Linked DNA regions of Coturnix japonica. The protein of the gene in region 1 interacts with the protein of each later gene in a biochemical or structural test. Links are inferred from orthologs where the notes say so. Each region holds a gene or a part of one and is shown on either strand. Other genes may lie near its edges.

Region 1 (5,180 bases):
CTATATAAATACTGCTAACCTCACGTTTCTATTGGTGAAAAATCTAGAAGACCTGCAGGACACTCTAAACTCAAATCTTCAGACCTACCTTCTTTTGTCCAAAAAATCATTTCTTCCTTATTCCAGTGAGAGTGTTCAAGATTTATTTGTGAAGTATTTCCAAAACTGTTATTTAATGAACTTACTTTGCTAGAACTTTGTTGTGGTAATTGATACTTTTAAGTAACTGCTAAAATGCATCAATCCATACAAAACGGCTGAATATACAGAAAGAATGAAAGGAAAAAAAGCAGATGAGGAATACTACAGCAAGATGTCAGCAAGAACTTTCTTTAAATGAACATACATACCTCTTTGGAGTAAGCTCTGTGAATAGTGTCTGCTTGTTAAAAGAAACGATTGGAAGCACTATTCTAAGCTACTGTACAGTGAGTGCCCACATCGTCCTTTTCTCTGCTTGATCTAATTTGCTTGCTGACAACAGGACAAAGTTATTATTGGAGTTGCTTATGACTGCATGGACAAGATGGTTTACTGGACAGACATCAGTGGTCCATCGATCAGTAGAGCTAGCCTACATGGTGGGGAGCCAACGACCATCATCAGAACAGGTAACAGCACCAAGTTCTTCCTACTTCCTATTAATGCCATTAAAGACATGAATTAGATAATTCATAGGTGTTATTTGATCTGCAGCCTTATTACAAGTGAAGGTTACTCAAATAAAAGATACCCAAAAGCTTTGGTGACTTAAAATGAAGAAGGATCTGTTTCCTGTGTAGTAGCACTTCATTGCAGTGCTTACACTACATTACAATTTGGGTTATGGTTTTGATGACTCTTTAATGTAGGAAAATCATGAAAGCTTTTCATCAGTCAGTGGATGTGCAGACAAAGGTGATCCAGTAAACACTGTGTAACTGGATTTTGTGAAGCTTTTGTAAAGTTCTTTGCAAGGGACCTCTGAATAGGTCTGTAATAGTTCTCTGCTGAACTGACACTTTGTTATTGACTGACTAAAAGATAAGTAACAAGAGTAGCAGCAAATTGCAGGTGTTCATGATGGAACTGGGGTATCTAAGGCTTAGAGCATTTAAAATATGAAAACATTTCTTAAAATGTTAAGAAGGAGGGACAGGTTTAGGGAACCAAGTGAATGTGGAACTTGGGGGGGGGGGGGGGGAGAACAAACAAACAGCAAAAGAAGCTAGAGGGAAGCACTTTTTTTATACTCATTCACATCCCTGGGATCCTAGAATACTTGTAAAGTACTAGAGTTTCTTGCTTTTTATCTTTCCCAGGTACTGTCATTGAAATGTAGGAAATTAATTTAGCAAAATAATCAACAAGTTCTAAAACTCTACAATAAATTTGCTTTGGTTTTCTTTGGATGTGTTGCAAATTTCTACTTGGAGTAGAAATATGCTTCAGAATAGCCAGTTTGTTGTTACTCCATTTCAGCTCTCAGGGGCAATGGAGAGAGGGGAGCAGCTTGGATTGTGCTTTTGTCCTGGGAAGGGTTAAGGGAAAACTTAAAGCCATCCCTAATCACAGCAGCAACTATTTCTGTACAGCTTAGCTGTATTTCTATACAACTTGTTGGCTGAGGAATTTGTAGAACTTCCTTTTAATCCTAACATTTTTAATTTAAGAGTGCCTCTAAAACAGTGTAGGCAGTGAATGCATATGCATGTATAACTACAGCATCAATGGGGAAAGGATCTCCAGTCTCTACCATTTGAGGATCTACTCTTCAGGGACTTTGTCATATTGTGCACTTTAAAAAGTGAAGGAAATTGCTATTGCTAAAGATTTTGTATATGTATGAATTGTTCTAATGAGACTGTGTGTGTGTGTGCTTCGAAAGCCTTGCAGTATATAAAATGTTTTTGGAATATTTGTGAAGGTTTTCTACTAAATTGGATTATTTTAGGTAACTCAGAGTGCCTACAATGTACCACTGCTGCATGGGAACCTTGTTTTTATCTGCTACAAAAACCACCTCAGAAATTATGAGATATTTTTCCATATATTGCCTTGTCATGGGATGTGTTCAGTGCTTCTGAAGAGATGTTGAGCAATGTTTCTTTTTACTTCCTGCGTGGAAATGTTAACTGGATTTTTAATACAGAGTCAGAACAATTTATGGCTGAATATTCAGTATTGAATAACTCTGTGGTACTCAAAACTGGACCTTTAAAATTTCAGTAAATGGGAAAATGCCTCGCTCTTAGAAAGCTCATAAGAATTTATTATTTTGTTTTGATCTTTGCCTTTTTCCTCTGGAGGGCTGCAGCTGCTTTCTTCAGTTCTCACGTATTTTTGTGGAATGCACTTTTTTTTGTTGTTGTTGTTAAAGCTCTTGCAATCCAAGTTGAATTGTTCTGCAGAAACATGTTTTATTGTGGAGCCCCATCCAGTTCCCATCTATTCCTGCAGCTGTGTTGCCTGTGGAGGCTTTCTGAGCTCTGCAGCTGTGGGGGCAGGTCAGAAAGGAGAACTTCCATCTTTGTTGCAATTGCTTAAATTATGTTAGTTGTCTATCTATACAAGCCTGTCTGTTTCCAAAGAGTAGAGCCTGTGACTGTACCAGCCTTGATGGCAGTGCAGTAGGGGCACGTCTGTGTCAGTGATGCCTGTTCTTCACAGGGATCGTTTGTGTCACACACTGTTTAATGGCTTTCATAAATACACTTGAAAATTAGTAGAACACTCATTTGCCACATTCTTTTGTTGCAGGGCATTTAAGTGATGTGTAGATCCACATTTGAAAGATTTCTTGAGAGCTGGCTGGTATGAGGGGTCACTGCCTGTTTTGGGAGTGACCACATGCAATTCTACTTATTCTGGAACTGAAATCAGACTAGAAGTGATCTGTAGTGGCTTTGGCCTCACAACATCCCACACAGCCTTCATGCTCCTTTTCAATTAATGGATGAATGTTGAAAAGCATAGAAGCAGCTTTTCCACAGTGGCTGAATTAAACCTTGAAGAGCTATATATTTATTATGCATCTTTCATGCGAGTTAGGAATTACTAATGCTAAAGCAGAAAGGATGTTATCTGTTATTTCCTGTTGTTTTTGGAACAACTAACTATCCAAGACAAATAGTGCACATACAGTACTAAAATATGTTCCAAAAAGGATTGCTGTGCAAAAACAAAGAACAGGATCTAAATTCCATCAGTTAACTAATAGCATTATCTCTAGTGCTTCAGAGCATGCTTTCTGTATTGCTTTGGCTAAGCTTATTAAAAATCCAGTTTTCAAATGAGTGCTACTTACCAAAGAAGGGGGAATATTAAATAATATATTAAACACTATAAAATAATTCTGGATCCTGACTTGCTATGGATGGTAGAGTAGGATTCTCATAGTCTCTATTTATTTCCCTGTTATCTACTCTTATTTATTTATTTTTTTCTTTCCTCTTCAAGGCAAGTTTATATTCAGACTTGGGATGTGTGCTGGTTTGGTTCTTATATTTATCATTCAGAAAAACAGTCTGGTATAATGCATAGTATGAAACATAAGTTAGTATCTTAACTCTCTGGGCTATCTGTGCTTTAGCTACATATGACATATAGGTGAAATCTGAGGCTTATTTAAAGGATGTGTTCCCAAGGAGGGAGATGTACTAAGGGAGGCCTGGGGAAAAAGCTATTAAACTTTTCCAACTGATGTAGCTTTTATTGCCTGCAACCAGAAAACTGAAAAAAAAAATAAAATTCTCTGTTCAGAGTTGTGAATGCTTATAAGGTGAATGTTGCTAAGAAATATGATGTCTATGAATATTTTTCTCTTTTCCCTTGCAGACCTGGGAAGCCCTGAAGGGATAGCGCTAGATCATCTAGGTCGCAACATCTTCTGGACTGACTCTCAACTTGATAGAATAGAAGTGGCCAGACTGGATGGGCGCCAGCGTCGCATCCTTTTTGACACTGGCCTGGTGAACCCCCGTGCAATTGTTGTGGATCCTGTGAGAGGGTATGGATACCTTTTGAAAATACGCACGCAAAGCTTAGCCTTTACAGGGGTCAAGTAAATTCTTAGCCTCAGAAAGAGCATTCAAGGGCAAAAAAACCCACCACTGACAAATGGCCATTAATAATAAAGTGTCATTGAATTAATGGCCTTCTCTGAAGTTCACCCCTGACCACAAACTACTCTGATTGATTCCATTGTATAGTGCTTGATGTGCTGCAAAGAAAAACAGGATTTTGAATGAATCCTGCAGATGTGTGCCAAATGTTGCTGCTTCTGCTGCTTAGCCTGCGTAGATATGGGTGGTGGGAGGAGTGCTGTGGTTGTACATTTTAAACAGTCCACAGAACTGCTGAAATAGAATTGGTTTTGCCTGGCATCTAGCACATAACCTAAACAAAGCATGGAAAGCATTTCTTCTTTTAATAAGAAAGAAAAGAATCTCATACAAGAAGTATGTCATTCAGTATATCTTCGGGATGTTTTGTCACTTTGATATTAAAAGGCAATTTGGTGCTTCTTATTAATGCAACTACTACTTTGGCTATGTAGGGTCATTTTTATCCTTACTATTTATTATTTTTTTTTTCCTTGATTACAACAGTCACTTGAGATCAGTCAGTCTTTATTTTTACCTATTTTTCTTCCTCTTAAGAAACCTGTACTGGACTGACTGGAACAGAGAAGCTCCTAAAATTGAAACTTCATACATGGATGGCACAAACAGAAGAATTCTTGTGAAGGATGATCTGGGATTGCCAAATGGGCTGACGTTTGATCCTTATTCCTCAATGCTGTGTTGGGTAGATGCAGGTAAACAGGTGTTGAAGTCTATCTTCATAGTATTAGTATACTACATACATCCAATTCTGAGAAGATGCACAGCCAATTAGTATTTATAGCTCTTTGGGCTACACTTTGATTTCATGCCTTGATTTTTGGCTTTAGTAGAGTCACTTCATTTGTTCGTACTACCTCTGTTGGGTTCTGAGTAAACTGAAAGATTTTAATTCTGACCAAAAAACTGTCTAGTGATGCAGCAGGTATCCCCTCCCTGGAAGCATACAGGGTCAGGATGGATGAGGCTTTGAGCAACCTGGTCTAGTGGGAGGTGTCCCTGCCTGTAGCTACGGGGTTGGAACTGGGTGATTCTTTAAAGGTCCCTTCCAACCCGAACCATTCTACAACACTATGG
Region 2 (5,669 bases), on another chromosome or scaffold:
CTTACACAGGCCTTTTAAAGCCACTGCAAGAACTGCTGTTTCCATTAAACTATGTAGAAAAATGACAACTGTGAACCTGCTGCCATAGATGGTAATGGATTTGTTGGAGCAAGTCAGAATTCTTTGTCATTCTTCTCGATTGTATCTACTTGCAACAAGACCCTTGGAAATGGCTTATGCAATGATTTGTTACACTGTCATTACTCATTAATCTGAGCTTTCGCAAATTATTTTTATTCTTCTGAAGTAAAAATACAATCCTCATTAAAGAATTTGTTTGTTTTAAAAGCTACACAAAGGATTACAAGGCTTTCGCAAACAGATGCAAGAAAAAAAAATGTGGTTGTGCAAAATGTTCCCTCTCATAAGCCTTTACTTTCAATGGACTTCCAGGAGCTTTGAATTGAGCCCCAAGTGCATGGTTTAGCTCACTACAAAGCTTGGGGTCAGTAACTAGAATCACATGTACCTGAAGCCACTGAATCTGACTGTAGGTGAGAGGGCCAATTTATACACTGGAGATACAAATTAATATGAAAAAGGCAACCAAGGACTATTATCAGATCTTCAGATGGCTGTAGCTGTGAAGGTTTCTGGAAATATTTCTTAAATTCTTAGTTGAGTTTGCCTCGTTCCTGGTAATCAACTTGTGGTGGCAAACCAAGCAGGAAGAAGGAATTCTTACTCTACAGATGATGTTAATCAGAGTAAGCCCTTGTGTGGACTAGCTATTATGTGTGACTTTATATTGCTTCAGTAAAACTGGTGAACTTCTTTATTTTCATCTTTTATCGGTTAGAAGCAGGTTTAAAGTAATGTGAAATAAGCCACTGTGGAACTGACTCTAGGGTTTCTGTAAAGGAGACACAGCTATTCCAGTTAAGCTGGTGCAAAATTTAGACAAGGTGTGATCTTTGTTAGTTGCCTCCTGAGGCTGTCTATGTGTTAAAAACAGCAGCTGGGAGGTGGTGAAGAAACTGCCAAAGTCCCACTGTAACTGATGCAAGAAGACTTGAAAGCAGGGCATTTAAAGAAGAGGCAGAAATAGAGGGGATGTGTGTAGAAAAGGCAAGCAAAGATACCCCTGCATAAAGTTAGTCCTCTGTCCTCCCTCACCTTTTTTTAACTGCCCCATACAAATGAAATGGGGGGTGGAGGGAAGAAAAAAATAAAATTAGGGGGAGGGGAGGAAGAAACAGTGGTCACAGAAAGGATGACCTGGTGGGCAGGATATCCATGGCATGAGGAGTGGGGATAGGGCTCAGTTCTTTCATGTGTCTTCCTGCAGCAGTGAGGAGGCACCAGCAGAAGATGGATGAAGCTGGGTGCAGAGGGAAAAAAATGGACTTTCACACAAGCAGTGGAAGATCAGTGTAAATCTGTTGCCAAAGGATATTTCGGATGATAAAGGTTTACGAGAACTCATGGTGAGACTGGATAAATACCTGGGATAGGAATTCACCGAGGTCTACTAAGTACACAGAAATTACATTGCTCTGAGGAAATGTTCCAAACTCAATGCAGCTGGAGGCTGGCAGGATAACTGAGAGAAGGCTTTCCTTGAGCTTGTCCTTCCTCAGTTGACCACTTGAAACCATTGCTGAAAGCAAGCTGTTCGGCTAGTTGAACTCATGGCCACAAGAGAGAAAAGACCAAGTCACCAGAGGCAGAAAGAAATCTGCATGCTTTCAACTCTAATGCGTCTTAAATGCTGTTTTCCAGTTGGATGTTTTGAGGAGAGATACTCAGGCACACTGAGTGCTCACAAGACAAATAGTCCAATCAGAGTCCCCTGTGGCACAACTGCCAAGCAAACATAAAGAAACTTACAGCTATTCCTGAGTAAAACCAACTGCAAAGTGGAGTGGAGCGATGAACTCCCTGTTTGTTTCCACATGTTTTTGCACGTAAACATTGTTCCCATGTTATCTGAAAGATCTTGGCAGCGACATAGCCAACTGAGTGCCTCCAACCCAGCTCTGCCTTTGACCACTATCAGTGTTTGTGTTCCTGTTTAAATAAGATAATGGAGGTGGGGGTCGACAGAGCAGAGCTGGGTAGAAATTCTCATCCTGGTATTTTACCAGAAGTAAGAACGGTGGGGTTGATTTGTTTGTTTGTCTTCCCCCCTCCTCCCCCCACACCCCCAGCGAAGCTTGTTTAGAAATTCTAGAATGTCTCTCCTTTTTAAAATCCTTTGCACTGGAAAAATAAAAGTTATTGCAAAGCAAAATCCATGGAAAGACCAAGGAAGGGGGAAGGGGAGGGGAGTGTTGAAAAATCTCCTCTCCAGAGGTTAAACCTTTCCTCCCCTGCTAGGTGGTTTCTTTTGTTTTTCCTCTGCTTTGCCTTTGTTTGTGGCTTTCTCCCACTTGGCTCCGACAGAACTCGCTGCGTTTCTCGCTCACACAATCAGTCAGGCCGTCCCTAGGTTCACTCTGAGGATCTGTAAAGTTTTCCGAGCCGAAGGGAGTCGCATTTACAGCCTGTGTGGGGGTGGCGAGGAGAGAGTAGGGGTATCAGCACAACAGGGGCTCTGCCTCCGAGCCGCGGTGCCGCTCAGTTCTGCTGAGCACTTGCAGGCTGTGTAATTAACCGGGGGAGGCAGTGAATTAAATCTTTGTAAAGCCCACCGAGTGTGTGTGTGTAGGGGGGGGGGGTTCTTCCGAGCTCTTTTCCAACCGGTCTCAGGCGGCTGGGATAACCTCAGGCACAGCAGCTACGGCGGCGAGCGAGAAGCGGGGAGAGCCAAGCCCCGCTCGGTGCGAGTGCTCCCGCCGGCCGATGGACAAGCTCCGCGGGGCCCGGCCGCTGAGGCTGCTGCTGCTGCTCCTGGCGTTGTTGCCTGCGCTCCGGGGACAAGGTAAGTACGGCAAGCGGCACCCAGTGCGGGCGGCGGGGGTCCCGGCGGGCTGCCTGAGGGGCGAGCAAGACCGCGGGGCGGGAGCAAACTTAGAGCGAAGGGCCACCGGGCTACCCTGCGGCTTTCACCCCTCCACACACACCTCACCCGTGCCCCTGGACGTCCCGGGCAGGCTTTACAGCGCCGCTGCCACGTTCCCGTGAGGAGAAAGGCGTGGCGAGCACCGCTCCCGAGGCTCCGGCCCGGCAGGTTGGCTGTGCTGCCCAGGGCAAGGAGTCGGTGTAACAGCCGTAGTGGGGCTGCCCAGGCGGCGGGGCCGGGCGCGGCCCGCGGAGTTCGGCAGCTCCGAAGCAGTGACGTGAGGGGCTCCGAGGCCGGCCCTGGGGAGAGGGCAGGTGTGAGCCGCCGGGCACCGGGTTGCACTCCAAAAGTGGGATGTGGGTCCGAGGGGGAGCTGAGGATTTGGCCGCAGCAGGAGGCAGTGAGGCAGGGCGCTGGCATGTCAAAGACTGAATGTGAAACGTCCGAGTGGAGCTGCGTGGTGGAGTTGCTGAGGAGGGTGAGGACCTGGGTCCTGCTGGCCTTGTCTCTATACCGTGCACGTATTTCCCTGTTCTCTTGGAACCGCATCAAAAGAGGACATTTGTTTGGTTTAAACCGGCAGAGTGTATGGAAGTGTAACTGTTAAGATATATCAGAGAAGCTGCTTTTCATGCTGTGACGGTGGGTTCATCATAGCTAGCGGCTCAGTGGCATCTGTCTGCCTGACTCTGAGGGGCTGTTCTGAGCCCAGAATGGATCATACTGCACGCCAGCAAACATTTACAAACATGTGCCCCCCCACAAGCCTAACGATGGCAGACGAAAGCCAGTGAGGTAATTTATTATTTACTATTTGGCTCTTGGATTTCCCAATTGCACAGCAGTTGTGACAGCCGTCCTTTGAAATACTTGCCTTGGACGGGGATGTTAGCCACTCCTTTTAAAGACGAGGAACAGGATAAGGAGGGACTGGAAAGCGAAGTTTAGTGCTAAAATCCAAGGATAGCTTCTACTTTCTTTCTGAGGGCAGGGTACATTTGTAGCTTTGATGCTTCACAATGAAGGGATGTAATAATATTGACTGCTGAAAACTGCTGTAAAACACTGAATCACTTCACTGTGTAATTCAGTGTATCTTTAACCTTAGCTAATTCACTCCTTTTTTTTTTTTTTTTTTTTTTTGGGGGGAAAAAAAAAAAAAAAAAAAAAAAAAAGAGAGAGAGAGAAGAAAAAGAAGAAAAAGAAGAAGAAAAAAGAGTGCACAATCACAGATTGCTGTAGATTGAGGCTCTTGTCAATAGGATTAATTTCCTCCTTTTTTTTTTTTTTTTTTTTTTTTGGTGGGGGGAAGTCATTGGATGTGTTATGTCAGGCTTTTGAATCTTACTGCAAATTATAGACAAATTTGTCCATAGAAGGTATATCAGGTCTTTATTCTCGAATAAAAATCAGAACTCTAATTTCAGTGGGAATTGCTGTGTCTTCAGAATAATAAAACATTAAATTAGATAAAGTTAGACTTAAACGTCTAAGAGCAAATGAGGGTCCTTGTTTAGGACACTACTTCTTGAAGGGAAGACTTCGAATAAAGTATTATTCGAAGATGTGGATATGCTATGGAACCTACCAGTAATTGTAATCACTGTAAGATATTTTTTTCTGCTTTCCTTCACAAGGCTATCTGAGTTTTGCAAGCAAATGAGCTGGTTACATGGCAAACTCACGTTGTTTGAGTGTTTGCTGTTTGGGGCAGAATCTGTTTTCCTCTGTGTGAGTACTATAAAGAGGCTTGGGATAAAGGCAAGGGCCTCTTTATGATGTAATTTGCCAAGTTACTTTATCAACTTATTTCTGAAATACAGCCTCCTCATAAGCTTTCTTCTTTCAGCTTTCTCGTTTGCTTTTCTCTTCTAATGAATTATCAGATAATCAGTATTTATTAATTAAAGACCTGGGGCTAAGTTCAGAGGAAATGCCCATTGCATGTGGAGATAGAATGCTTATAGGAATGTGCGTACTTGGATTTTATGATGCAACTTCATTTTAAGTTAAATATTGCACTTTTATTATAACAACTTTTGCTTATGGTATAAATTGCCATCCCTACTGAAAGAGGTGGATTAGTCACATCATTACATCCAGTCAGTGTATGAACAGTTCACGCTCTTACTGGGTCTTTGGCATGTCTTGGTATGACAGACACAGACAGTTTAACTCACTAAACATCTGGAAACGTGTCTATTCAGTGTGAGCTTATATTTTGTAATAAAAAAATGTTCCACTGAGTTTGTGGAATGAGTTTTATTTTAAGATCATGATTTTTACATGTGCTTTTATAGCAGTAAGTTTATAAGAAATATGTGGGTGGAGTAGGACTTATAAAAGGCTGGTTTTATTCTTTTTTGCTTGCTATCATAGCTACAGTCTCCCTAATCATAGAATCATAGAATGGCTTGAAGAGCATCGAGTTCCAACCCCCTAAAAATCATGTACCACCAAAAAATCTAATCCTAAAACATGAGTGCTGTCTACCTCTAAATTAGTTTTCTGTTGAATTTCTTTTTAATAAACCGTTTTCAGTCATGATGTTTTATTGCAATCAGGGGAAGAGCAAAATGTTAAACTCTTGTTTTTCATCTCTGTAATTGAAAGCAGACGTGTTGGTCAAATCCAAGACAAAAATTCATAAACTAGCTTATCAAGTTACTGCAGTGTATTTATATGATTCCTTGAGATTGCAGGCAAAATCTGATGGCAGGTCAGT

Evidence for each region.
Region 2: the proteins of NID1 (region 1) and FBLN1 form a complex in vitro, tested with the Homo sapiens proteins (3 studies listed by BioGRID). The link is inferred for Coturnix japonica from reciprocal best matches to the Homo sapiens genes NID1 and FBLN1.

What each region holds. Positions count from the first base shown.
Region 1 is NC_029518.1:34,039,177-34,044,356, forward strand, and holds part of NID1 (nidogen-1), read left to right. Parts: intron 1-484; coding exon 485-611; intron 612-3,816; coding exon 3,817-3,988; intron 3,989-4,640; coding exon 4,641-4,798; intron 4,799-5,180. UniProt on the Homo sapiens protein: Sulfated glycoprotein widely distributed in basement membranes and tightly associated with laminin. Also binds to collagen IV and perlecan. It probably has a role in cell-extracellular matrix interactions.
Region 2 is NC_029516.1:64,805,458-64,811,126, forward strand, and holds the start of FBLN1 (fibulin-1), read left to right. Parts: upstream 1-2,270; 5' UTR 2,271-2,784; coding exon 2,785-2,863; intron 2,864-3,402; exon of another isoform or gene 3,403-3,422; intron 3,423-3,466; exon of another isoform or gene 3,467-3,739; intron 3,740-5,669. UniProt on the Homo sapiens protein: Incorporated into fibronectin-containing matrix fibers. May play a role in cell adhesion and migration along protein fibers within the extracellular matrix (ECM).